Linked DNA regions of Canis lupus familiaris. The protein of the gene in region 1 purifies or fractionates together with the protein of each later gene. This does not show direct contact. Links are inferred from orthologs where the notes say so. Each region holds a gene or a part of one and is shown on either strand. Other genes may lie near its edges.

Region 1 (4,012 bases):
AGGTCAGCACGGGCCGGGGCTGCGGCTTGGGGCTTACTGCCTGCCAACATGGAGTGACGGGCTGATCTCACCCTCAGCGCTGGTTCCTGTATCCCCCTGAGAAGACACCTGAGTTCCACCCCAACAAAACCACACTGGCCTGGCTTCAGGACGTGTACCCAACCCTGGCACCATCTGAGAGGCCCCTGGAGTGCACCGTGCAGGCTGGTGAGGTCAGTAGGTGGCAGGAAGGGGTCAGGCTGGATCACACGCCACCAGCTAATCCTTGTGCCCCACCCTCCACCAGGTGCTGTATTTCCCTGACCGGTGGTGGCATGCTACGCTCAACCTGGACACCAGTGTTTTTATCTCTACTTTCCTCGGCTAGGTAGAGTGGGCGGCTGGTGAGCCCAGCACACACCAGCACACACCCCTATAGTGCTCACAGGTTTTATTACAGGACAGTGGTGGCAGCAGCCCACCCTCACCTGCTGTTTCTGGCCCAGAAGGGGGTGGAGGTGGGGCTCATGGTCCAGCAGCAGAACTGATGAGGGTGGGATAAGGGACACCAGGGCAGGGATCTAGGGACACAAACTATGTACAGGAACTGGGAGCTACTGCCCCAAAGCCCACCTGGGCCAGGGTACTAGGCAAGGCAGGCAGCTCTGGCACTCGCCTGGCCTCAGTAGTCCTCCACCCAGCCGTTCTCGGAGATGAATGCATCAATGACCTCTTTCATGGCCAGGTTGGGGATGAGCTGTTCCTGGGTCAGGGGGCTCCGGGTGACAGGGTCAAAGTGGCCCACACGCTGCAGTGTGCAGTGACAGCAGGTCAGAAAGTGCTCAGTGGTTACGGGCCCTGCTCCCCACTCTTGTTGGCTCTCACCTGCAGGTGTTCCTCAATGTCCTTGCGGTCGTAGGTGATGCCACTAGGCGTGATGCACGGCTCCCGCATAAGCTCGAAGCTGATCTTGCCACACAGGTAGTCCGGGATGTCTCGCTTCTGTGGCACATGGAGTCAGGTCAGGCACCAGGATGGGGACCCGGCTCCGATTCCTGCTACCCAGAGGACAGACAGCTTACCTTTCTCTTCTCGTCCACCTGGGAGAAAAGCTCATCCATGTCTGCTAAGTACTTGTCCTGCGGAGAACCAAGCAGCTACGCGTGGGCCAAATGCCCCTTCCCCCTCCCCCGGGCACCCTCCAGTCACAGGCACGCAAACACGCACACATCCACACGTGGGCTGGGGCACCCTCACGTGCTTGGCCTCGATGCAGGCCTGCTGGGCCCGGACGTGGCCATCATCCTCATCACCCTCGTGGTTCCGCTGGCATTCTTCTAGCTCCCTGGGGGTCGACCAGGAGCTAGTCAGGAATGGGTCTGGCCAGAAGAGATCACACTCCACCCCAACCTCAGGCTTGTTCAGGTCTCTCTTCCCTCCAACTGCTCGCCAGTGCTGGCCTTCAATAAACACTTGTGTTCTTGACTCAGTTAACCCCAGAGTGCTGCCTTGGGGGTGGGTGGGGCCCTGGAGCCTGCCGCTACCACAGCCCACCTCTCCCGCTCGGCCACAATAAGCCGAGTGAGGTAGGAGTGCAGCTCATTCTCCTGGTGGATGCGCCGCTCCTCGATGCTGTTCCAACGCTTCTTCTTGGCGATGCGCAGAGCACTAGGGATATCATCCCCGAAGTTGAGCCGCTGCTCCTTGGCAAGGTTGTAGGCTGGGGGAACAGGGGCTTCAGGTCACCTTCTGGCCAGTCCATCCACCTGGTCCCAGGCGCCCCCGCCGTCCCCTGACAACCTGTAGGCCCACCTCGCTGCAGGTTGGCGATGGCCTCATCATAGCTCTCCATCTCTAGCTGGCACTGCCCCAGGAAGAAGTGTGCCTTCACAGACTGCCCGTCCAGTTCCAGAGCCCGCCGGCAGTCAGCCAGGGCCTGCTCATGCTGCTGCATCTTCAGATAGCACAACGCCCGGTTGGTGTAGTACACGGCCACCAGAGGATTCCGGGTCTGGGGACCAAGGCCAGGCCAGCCAGCATGAGGGAAAAAGCTCCGTGGGCCCTGTCCTAGGCCCTGTCCTGGTCTGGGAGCCCGTAGCTAAAATCCAGACACTAGAAATTTCTCAGCTTGGAAGCCTCTGCTCAGCTAGGGCTGTAGAGTGAACTCCCGGTCCTCAGGCCTGCGCTAGCCCACCCTCTCGGGGCTCCCAGGAGGTTTTGTAAAGGTGAGGTTCCCGGACCTGAGGAGAGCCCCAGCTTCGGGCCTGGGCTTCTCAAGGGACAGGAACCCTGGTCCCGGCCTGGGGCCTCGAGCACCCCTCAAGCTCCCACCCGCCCCTCCAGCAACCAGCACTGGCTCGAGAACCGCGCGGCCTTGGCTCGACTGGAACATGATCAGCACCGAGTTCTCGGGGCCCAAACGCCCCCGCGGGCGAACCAAGACCGCCCCGAGGGTCCGGCGGGAGCGGCGGGGCAGGGGCTCCGGGGAGGACGCGGGGCCGCGAGCCGGGCCCCGCCCACTCCCCCGCCCGGACGCCGGCCCCCTCCCCCGGCGCGGGCGCACTCACGATGGCGCGGCCGTAGCAGGCCGCCGCCTCCGGGTACTTGCGGCCCACGAAGAGCCGGTTGCCCTGCTCCTTGAGCTCCTGCGCGCTCGGGCTCTTTTCGGGGCTTCCGCCGCCGGCGCCCAGCCGCGCGCCGCCCTCCTTCTCCTCCTTGCCCTTCATAGCGCCGCGCGGCACAGCCCGGGCTTCGCTCCCAGGCTCCGCGTCTGGCCCGCCCTGCGCCCGCAGCCCGAGCCCGCAGCCCGAGCCCGCGATCCGCTCGGGCCCGGTCCAGCGATCCGCCACCGGAACTTCCGGCCGCGCGGGGCGGGGCCAGCGGCACGGGCGGGGGCGCGCCTGCGTCCGACGGGCCGCGGAGGCAAGGGGGGGCGGGACCGACTGGGCGCATGCGCTCGAGGGAACGCGACCCGCGACGTCGGACGTCCGGGACAGCGACAAGCGCGGCCCCGCCCCGCCGAGGCCCCGCCCCGCCTAGGCCCCGCCCCGCCGAGGCCCCGCCCCGCGCGGACTAGGCGGCCGCCGGCTGGCTGCGCGGCCGTGGGGCCTTGAGGGCCGCGGGGCTGCGGTCCTGGCGCCGCACGGGGAGGTGCCGCGGCCGCCAGGGACGGCTGGAAGCTCTGGAGCGGTGGCAGGACGGCCGAACCCCGCTGCCCGAGGCTCCGTCGCCGCCCTCCCCAGGCCCCAGAGGGCTCCCCGCGGCCACCGGGGGCGGAGCGGAGGAGCACGTGGCCGCCGGCGTGGAAGCGGGGGGCGGGGCTCCGGGTGAGGTTCCCCCACCCACCCCGCCCAGCCCACCTCGGCCCGGCCGGTGAGTGTCGTCGCCTGCCGGGGGGCCCGTGGCCGTGACCCCGGGGGTGCGCGGGAGCCGCCTGCCCAGACGCTGGCGAGGCTCGAGCCCCGGCTGCAGGAGCTCCGAGGCCGCCGCGCGCCCGCCGCCCGCGGCCCTGGGGAGGCGGGGTGCATGCGGCAGGCAGAGCCGGCCCGAGCGCCGCATGGCCTGGGCCCGGGCCCCCGCCCCCCTCTGTCCCCGCCCGGGCGGGACCTCAGGCCCGGGACCCCTCCCCGCGTGGGACCCGCCCCAGCCTGGCCACCCGCAAGGACACCGCGCCGGCCCAGAAGCGCAGAGAAGCCAGGCTGGCTGAACCCTGCTGGGCCCGGGCCACAGGGTTCTCGGAGGGCGGGCGACCGGCTGGGCTGCAGTCTCCGCTGCCTGTGAGGACCCCAGCTCCTCGCACACCCGCCACACGCGCACGCCTGGTTTGGGTGCAGGGAGCACCGGGAGAGCTTGGGCTGCCGTGCGAGGGCCGGGCGGGCCCCTGGGGCCAGCCCCCAGAGCCCACTGCAGCCACCTCCTGCTGTGTAAAATATTTATTCATTCTCCAAAAAGGCTCAGACCGCAAGTTGTGGGGGAGAGGCAGGGGCAGGGTCTCCCTAGGGCCACACTTGGGGACCTCCACTGCCTGGCCAGG
Region 2 (4,061 bases), on another chromosome or scaffold:
GGAGGGAGAGAAGGGGAGGATGAAAGGAGGAAGGGCAGTCCCAGCTCTCCAAGAACACTGACCTAGTTAGTACAACTGGTCTTCCTAAAGTGACTTTCACAGATCTGCTTCTATTTTGCTTTATTTTTAATTGAAGAAAAAAAAAAAGGAATATTAACATCCGTATTTCTACCGCCCAGAACTGACTACTAACATTTAGCCAGAATTCCTGTAGACTTTTTTTTCTTAACCATTACAATTTTGTAGTTTATTTTCCCTCCGTCCCCAGGGCCCTCCAACCTTTCGACGAACTTTGACACCCAGCCACTGTCAGGAATTTTGTATCCTTCTAATCCATTTAAGCATCTATATCTATACTGATCCCTATGACACCGTTTTTCTAAAATGCCCTCAGTACAATACTGTACAAATAAACATCTTGCTTTTTTTCAGCACATGTAAGATCTATCCTGCGGGTACACAGATCTAGTTAATTCATACGAACGACTATGCCGATCCGCTGCACGACTACATCGGTTATTTACGCATTCCCTTACTGGTTGGCAACCCAATCAATTTTCCCCCTATTATTCAATGCAATCAACAATTCTCCTGGTACACGGCTCTATGTGCAAGTGTGAGCTTCTATATATATCCAGAAATGAAATTCCTAAGTCACAGGGTATGTTTATTTTCTATTTTGCTAAATATTGCTGAAGGGCCCTAACGAGGTTATATCCATTTACAACCATCCAGCAATGTGAGTTCTTGCCCTCTAACACTTCTGCCAGCATTCAATATTGTCAGAGCTTTAAAATGTAGACCCTCTGGATAGGGGACATTAACCTGTTTTCTAATGTCATAACAAAAGAGAGATACCAGTTATCAAAAGCCTCTACTTCCCTACCTCTAACGAGATTAAAACTCCCAGGGCTCCTTCAAGTTGCCCGTGGTTTTGTCTCCTATACCGTGACTGATTCACTGACCGGGTTAATTCTTTTGCCCTCGTCGCTGGAAACACGGAAGACACTAATTACCTGAAGTTAAAGAAGTACTAGCTGTAGGTCGACTTCAAAGGCTCGGAAGGAATGGGCGCCTTTCCAGAGACCTTTTCGAACTATATCAGCTAAGCTGGCACTGTCACAGCTTGGCTTGGCATCTCCCCCACCACGGCCCCTGCCTAACTTCCAAACATAGCTTGCTGGCGTCAGGGAAGAGAGGCTTAGAGCTCCCCAGAAGCTTTGCTATGGACAGAAGTGGGGGAGGTAAGTCTCAGAGGCCGCCGGAGGTACTGCAGCCCGGCTGGCCCTCCTTCCTACAGGCCCTCCTTCCTACGTGCAGAACTGCACAGACCGCTGCAGGGGCGGGCGCCACACCACTCGGTGGCTCTGCCAACACCCCCTCCCCTGAGCTGAGCAGTCACACCGGGAGGCTGAGAGAGAGGCCCACCAGATGTTGCACACCCCCATCCACTAGCCACCCTGGCTCACCTTCCCCCAAACAGCTTCCTTAACAAAGCCCCAAACAAGCAGACTATTCATTGGTCTAGTCTGAGACGGGCTCGTGGTGAAAAACCCAAGTTCCCAGAGCATGCTCGCATTAAGAACGCTCTTCCTTTAGCTCTAGTCCTAGCTGGACCAGAACTGAGGTTTAAAGTGATGACTCACAGTCCTGGAGGACTTTTAAAAAATGTTTCTTTTTTAAAGTAATCTCTGTACCCAACATGAGGCTGAAACTCCCGACCCCAAGATCAAGAGTCGCCCTTTCTACTGGCTGAGCCAGCCAGGCTCCCCTCCTACAGCATCTCCCACCGAGTAAACCACTTCTACATTTCCCAACGTCCTCAACAAGGCTGCAAGAGAACTTTGCTCAAACGGGCGACTCATCCTTGTGGGGTACCACCTAACTGAGATTTGACTGTAGACGTTTGGAATGATTCAGAAATAAAATGTCAAATGAGTCATTTTCTCCTACCTTGAGCTCAGTCTTAGCTCTTGGCCAAAATAACACATCCTGACATGCCTTCATACAAGCTGAAGCAACATAAATTAGAACCAGGGTAGTGTGAGTTGATAATGCAAGAGTTGGGTTTTTCCTAGCTCACAGTCATTTCCTCATTTCTTCCACTGCCTCAACATTAAGAAACACACAGCTTTAAGAAATAAAATGGCTTTTCCCGTGACACCCCCCACCCCATTAATGTCACAACATCCAAGGCACAGAAGCAACTTGTACAAGGTCCTAGTTCTGTCTGGAGTCCCCCCTACCAAATTGGCCAGGTCACTGGCAAATTATTAGACACCCAAAAATGCTTTCTGTTAAACTATGAATTCAACATCAAAATTATTTACTCCTAACGCAGTGCTTAGAATGAGAGCAGCTAAACTAAGACTGGAAGAGACTAATGTCCATCTATTTTGACTCAAGTCAGAGGTGAGTTCAAGGACATTCTTTCAGTCATCATTATTCATAACCATAACAGGCCCCCCTCCCACAAAGGACTGCCGTGTCCCCTGGGGAAGTCTCAGGAATGCAGGTGCATAGACTACGTTACTTGGGCACAGGCCTGTGTCACGCTGCACCTAAGCTCTTAGGGGAGTACAGAGAGCAGGGACAACCTGGACAACCACTTTTCACTTAACTGGGGAAAATGCGTGTTTCACTATTTGACTCACTAAATGAAGAGAAGGGACTTTTTAAACCTGTGAAGACCACAATGCAGTTTCCCACTCACCCAACAAAGAGAATTCTCTCAAAAGCAGAGAGGTTGAAAGGTTGAGTCATCTTCCCCCAGAGGCCTCCCCACTCATCCACAAACCTGGTGATGGGCTACATACCCTTCCCCTCAGGACAGCCCCACTGCATTTCCCAACAGCATCTTCAGGCATCAAGAGATTAAATTATTTGCTCACAATGCCTCAGAGCAGGAGTCCTGACCTAGGATATCCTCTGTACCCCAGGGAGTGGCCGCACCCTCAGTACTACCAACAGGAGGCCACACTGTCCTTGCCTCCTATCCCAACCTCACGCTGACCACTTGGCTGAGCAAATTCTAGAACACCACCCGGAGCAGGTGGGGACAGCGGGGGAAGAGTGCAGCGTGGGGGCTGCAGGTCTGTTTCTAGTCCTACAGCCCAACACCAACTGCCAGAATTCCGACCCTCCTGGCCTTCCTTTGTCTACTAACCTCAGGAGACCAAAGAGCCCCGGTAGCCGAATGGGGAGCTGCAAGGTAACCTTTATTAGTTACTTTGTAATCACTGCACCAGGATCCCTTAGGGGATTGGTTTCCAGGAGATGTCTAGTATTTAGAAACCCTGACTTAGGAGTTAATCCCAAGATTAACTAGGAGTATGTGTTTGGGGATGGCAAGGAGAAGATGAGCCCTTGTGCTGAAGCAGTTTATGTAATTGTGCTCAGGGACCGAGGAACACATCCGGAGTCATTTCTTCTGGACATTTCCTCACTAGACAGGAGACACTGCGCCCAGTGTGAATAGTAACCCGTCCTTCAACAGTCAGGAGCGAAGAGGTTACTGTTACACACGGGGACCCCCTGCACCATTGCTGTATGCTAATGAGCCAAATTCGATTCTAAAAGCCTGTTAACTTCTCTGTGCATCGTGCCCGGACCTTCATCAGCTCGGACTCACGTGCACGGGAGAGGATCCGCGCCTTGGGTTTGAAGAACACGGATAAAAAGCGGAGGAACGCAACGCCGTTCCCCTGGGCTCTTCAATGACCTTCACAGCGGAAGGTCCTTCCCGGCTTCGAACCCAGAGCGCGCGGCCCCCGCCCAGGGCTCCGGCGCCGCAGCCCGTCCCGCGGCGCCCTGATCCTCCCGAGCCCCCCGCCCCAGAGCAGCACCGGCTGCACCCAGTGGAGGCGGACCGTGGCGCCAAGCGCTCCCCGTGCTTCCCCTGCGCCCCTAACCCGCTCCCACCCGCTCCCTCGGTGCCCCGAGGCGGAGGCTGCGCAGGTCCCCGGGCGGGGAGGGCGGGGAGGGGGCCCCGGGCTGCGCCCCCGACGGGCCCCTGCGCCTCCGCGGGCACCGGGGGGCGGGGCGGGGGGCGCCGGCGGACG
Region 3 (4,002 bases), on another chromosome or scaffold:
GGTGTGATCCTGGAGACCTGGGATTGAGTACCACGTCGGGCTCCCTGCATGGAGCCTGTTTCTCCCTCTGCCTGTGTCTCTGCCTCTCTCTCTCTCTCTCTCTCTCTCTGTGTCTGCCATGAATAAATAAATAAAATCTTTTAAAAATTAAAATAAAATAGTCTTTCCAGGGCACCTGGCTAATTCAATTGGTAGAACATGTGACTCCTGATCTTAAAGTTGTGAGTTCAAGCGCCGAGGTCAAGGTAGAGATTACAATTAGTCAATCGTCCTTCCATTCCTACATTATAATTTCTACCACTATTCTTATCTTCACCAACCTTGCTGTTCTTCTCATTTACCTCCTGAATTTCAAGTTCTCACAAATCTTATTTATCAAAGAGAAACGACAGCATTTGTTAATTCCTGTTGGCCACTGTCCCCATCCTAAATTCCCTAATAAACCTGCAATTACGCCTATTTCACCACTAGGTGGTGTTCTGAACAAATTTAAAGCAAACCAGAGTTCTCAGACCACCCCCACTCTAAATTTTAGATTTCCAAGAAAAAAAGCCTTTCTAATTTACAAATAGAGGCTGATTCCATTCACTTAATCCTTACCATCCTGCAACAGAAAAGGCATGCAATCACCCTCAACCCTTAACTAACACAGCAGATGACCTGTAATGGGCAGTCCCAGCAACTGTGGAAGGTAACAGAACATCACCAAGGTAACAGTAGTACACTGCAACCCTGAAAAGTGAATTTAAAATAACTCACTAAGGGCGGCTGGATGGCTCTGGTCAAGATCCCAGGGTCCTGAGATCTGGGATGGAGCCCCAGGGCAGGCTCCCTACTCTGCTTCTCCCTCTGCCCTTGCTGAGCTCACTCTCTCCAATAAATAAAGCAAGCCTTTAAAATAAGTTAAGTAAATAAAATTATAAACTTACTGAATTTTAAAGTGCCCTCTTAAATAAAACAAACTAAAAAATATGCAAACACCATCCCCTGCCCCAACCTGGTTTTTGAGTTTGCGAGTCAGAAACTACTAATGGTAGGGAGTAGAATCGTTTTAAAAGTGTCCAAAACAGGGGAGCCCTGGGTGGCTCAGTGGTTTAGCGTCTGCCTTCGGCCCAGGGTGTGATCCTGGAGTCCTGGGACCGAGTCGCGCATCAGGTTCCCTGCATGGAGCCTGCTTCTCCCTATGCCTCTCTCTCTCATGAATAAATAAATAAGATCTTAAAAAATATACATCCTTTAAAATAAATAATAAAGATGTCCAAAAACAAAGTGAAAACAGAGGAAAATGGTTCTACTCTTAATATTTACACCTACGAAAAATAATGGGCTTGCTGAAAGACAAAAGCTATTGTGTGCCACTTAATTGCAGGTGTACTATCATTCCTCGTCCATAATTTAGTCTTCAGAATATTAAACACCGCTCTCCACCCAGCCCTCCGGATAAGTCTGTCCCGCAGCCAGAAAAACCTCTCAAATACACCAATCTCAAATCAAGGAAACAAATTTAAAACACAGATTTTTTAAGTGGGTGCTGAACTCCTGTGAAATCCCCTAACTGCTCCTTAAGTCCCAAACCCTAAGCAACAAGTTGAGGCTTAGGCTCAGCCCACCCCACCAAGCCAATGTACTTCCCCAACTCCCATGCGCCTTATCCAGAACATTCCACCACTTACCGGCTACTATGCATAAAAACCACACATCCTTTTGTTACACAAACACGCAAGTACTAACCCCAAAGTAGTTAAAAGTGCACATTATGAACTTCCCAGGGAACCGGGGGTTGGGGTATCTGGGAGACGCGGGAGGGAAGCACAGTGCGGAAACATTTGGACCCGCATCATTATTCGACACGATTACAGCAGAAAAGCAGCAACAAGTTCCACGGGCTTGCTAACCCCTCCTCTCGCTGGCAGCCGACTAGTCCCGGCCAGAGCCGAACCTCCCCCCCCCCCCCCGCCCCCCTGCCAACCCCGGGCTCGCTCGAAGACCTTCCGGGACCACACGGTAGGCCACCTACCCTCCGTGCCTCAATTGTCCCCTTCCTTGGGCACAGGCTGACGTAAACCTCACTCCTATAAATCATGACACACTCTGAAGCAACAGACCAAACCGGCTGTTTGGGTGAGATCCGGGCGTTTTGCTCATCCGAAAACTTTTAAACAATTAGTGGGAAGTTCCGGGAACGCGGCTTCGCGTCTCCCGGAGCCGCTTCCTGGTCTCCGTGTTCGGGGCGTCCTCCCCCAGACTGCCACCCTCTGCAGACCTACCTCGTCTCTGGCTTTGGGGTCATCCACGTGGGGCTTTATGAAGAGTAAAAACCTGCCTTCCCGCGGCGGGGCCCCCGCCCAGCCCGCCCCCCGCCCGAGCCCCGGCCCAACCGCCGGCGCGGGGCGAACCAAGGGCGAAGGCCGCCCCGACCCCGGGGCCCGCCCCCGCCCCGGGCCGCGACTCCTGACCCCGGCCCCGCCCCGGGCCGGGCCCCCGTGCACCCAGCCCGACGCCCACGCCCGCCGCCCGCCCCCGCCGCCCCGGCCTCACCGCCGGCCCGGGCCCCGCCACCCCCACCCGCCGCGCCCGCGCCCCCGGCCCCGGCCCGGCAGCCCGCAGACACCCCAGCCCGACGCTCACCTCGGAAGGCCGGCCCCACGGCAGGCCCCAGATCCCCGACCCCGGGCCCGAGCCCCCCGCCCCGGCGCGGCCCCACACCGGTCCCAGGCCCGCCCCCCGCCCGAGGGCGACGCTCACCCAGGACAGGGAGCCGGCGGCGGGCAGGAGGCGCGGCGGGGCGGCGGCCCGGGTCCCCTCGGCTCCGGCACAGCGGCGCTGGCAGCGGCGGCGGCGGCGGCTCCTCGCGCTTTCCTTTCTCTCCTTTCTCCGACAACAAACAGGAAGTGCGTCACGCGGCGGCGGCACGGCGACGTACACTTCCGCCCGGCCCTGACGCCGCGCATGCGCCCCGCCCCGCCCGCGTTCCCGAAGGTTCGTCGAGGCCCGGCTTGGGCGGGGGTGGAAGGGAAGGGCCAGCCGCGGCGTCCCGGCGCCCCCGGGGGTGCTGTCCCGCGCCCACCCCACCGAGCGGCGGCCGTCACACACACTCAGCCTGGGCGGCCGGTCAGGAGGCCGGGCCCGCGCCCGCCGCCCCCCGCGACAGTGCTCTTTGTCGTGTCCCCTCTAGTAGCAGGAAAACAAGGTGACCGCGGCTCCAGGGACCGCAGAGCCTCCCCTGCCCCCCTCCTGGAACTGACCCCCACCCCCACCTGCAGAGCCTCAGCTGCCCCCCTCCTGGAACTGACCCCCATCCCCACCTGCAGACCCTCCCCTGCCCCCCTCCTGGAACTGACCCCCATCCCCACCTGCAGACCCTCCCCTGCCCCCCTCCTGGAACTGACCCCCACCCCCACCTGCAGAGCCTCAGCTGCCCCCCTCCTGGAACTGACCCCCACCCCCACCTGCAGAGCCTCCCCTCCCCCCCCTCCTGGAACTGACCCCCACCCCCACCTGCAGACCCTCCCCTGCCCCCCTCCTGGAACTGACCCCCACCCCCACCTGCAGAGCCTCAGCAGCCCCCCTCCTGGAACTGACCCCCATCCCCACCTGCAGAGCCTCAGCTGCTCTCCTCCTGGAACTGATCCCCACCCCCACCTGCAGAGCCTCAGCTGCTCTCCTCCTGGAACTGACCCCCACCCCCACCTGCAGAGCCTCTGCTGCTCTCCTCCTGGAACTGACCCCCACCCCCACCCCCACCTGCAGAGCCTCAGCTGCCCCCTCCTGGAACTGACCCACATCCCCACCTGCAGAGCCCTAGCTGCCCCACTCCTGGAACTGACCCCCATCCCCACCTGCAGACCCTCCCCTGCCCCCCTCCTGGAACTGACCCCCATCCCCACCTGCAGAGCCTCAGCTGCCCCCCTCCAGGAACTGATCCCCACCCCCACCTGCAGAGCCTCAGCTGCCCCCCTCCTGGAACTGACCCCCACCCCCACCTGCAGAGCCTCTGCTGCT

The links. The genes of interacting proteins can lie anywhere in the genome.
Region 2: the proteins of STUB1 (region 1) and PKM purify together in Homo sapiens (affinity purification with western blotting; 3 studies listed by BioGRID, with this or other methods). This does not show direct contact. The link is inferred for Canis lupus familiaris from reciprocal best matches to the Homo sapiens genes STUB1 and PKM.
Region 3: the proteins of STUB1 (region 1) and DNAJB6 purify together in Homo sapiens (affinity purification with mass spectrometry; 4 studies listed by BioGRID and IntAct, with this or other methods). This does not show direct contact. The link is inferred for Canis lupus familiaris from reciprocal best matches to the Homo sapiens genes STUB1 and DNAJB6.

Annotation. Positions count from the first base shown.
Region 1 is NC_049227.1:40,363,645-40,367,656, forward strand, and holds STUB1 (E3 ubiquitin-protein ligase CHIP), read right to left. Parts: upstream 2,819-4,012; 5' UTR 2,706-2,818; coding exon 2,547-2,705; intron 1,991-2,546; coding exon 1,792-1,990; intron 1,700-1,791; coding exon 1,534-1,699; intron 1,474-1,533; exon of another isoform or gene 1,325-1,473; coding exon 1,237-1,324; exon of another isoform or gene 1,119-1,236; coding exon 1,062-1,118; exon of another isoform or gene 982-1,061; coding exon 865-981; intron 788-864; coding exon 662-787; 3' UTR 414-661; downstream 1-413. Other genes in the region: JMJD8 (jmjC domain-containing protein 8), read left to right, coding at 1-2, 78-212, 287-367. UniProt on the Homo sapiens protein: E3 ubiquitin-protein ligase which targets misfolded chaperone substrates towards proteasomal degradation.
Region 2 is NC_049251.1:36,175,234-36,179,294, forward strand, and holds the start of PKM (pyruvate kinase PKM), read right to left. Parts: upstream 2,850-4,061; 5' UTR 2,764-2,849; coding exon 2,714-2,763; intron 1,154-2,713; exon of another isoform or gene 1,017-1,153; intron 1-1,016. UniProt on the Homo sapiens protein: Catalyzes the final rate-limiting step of glycolysis by mediating the transfer of a phosphoryl group from phosphoenolpyruvate (PEP) to ADP, generating ATP.
Region 3 is NC_049237.1:20,508,726-20,512,727, reverse strand, and holds the start of DNAJB6 (dnaJ homolog subfamily B member 6), read right to left. Parts: upstream 2,850-4,002; 5' UTR 2,746-2,849; intron 2,318-2,745; exon of another isoform or gene 2,268-2,317; intron 1-2,267. UniProt on the Homo sapiens protein: Has a stimulatory effect on the ATPase activity of HSP70 in a dose-dependent and time-dependent manner and hence acts as a co-chaperone of HSP70. Plays an indispensable role in the organization of KRT8/KRT18 filaments.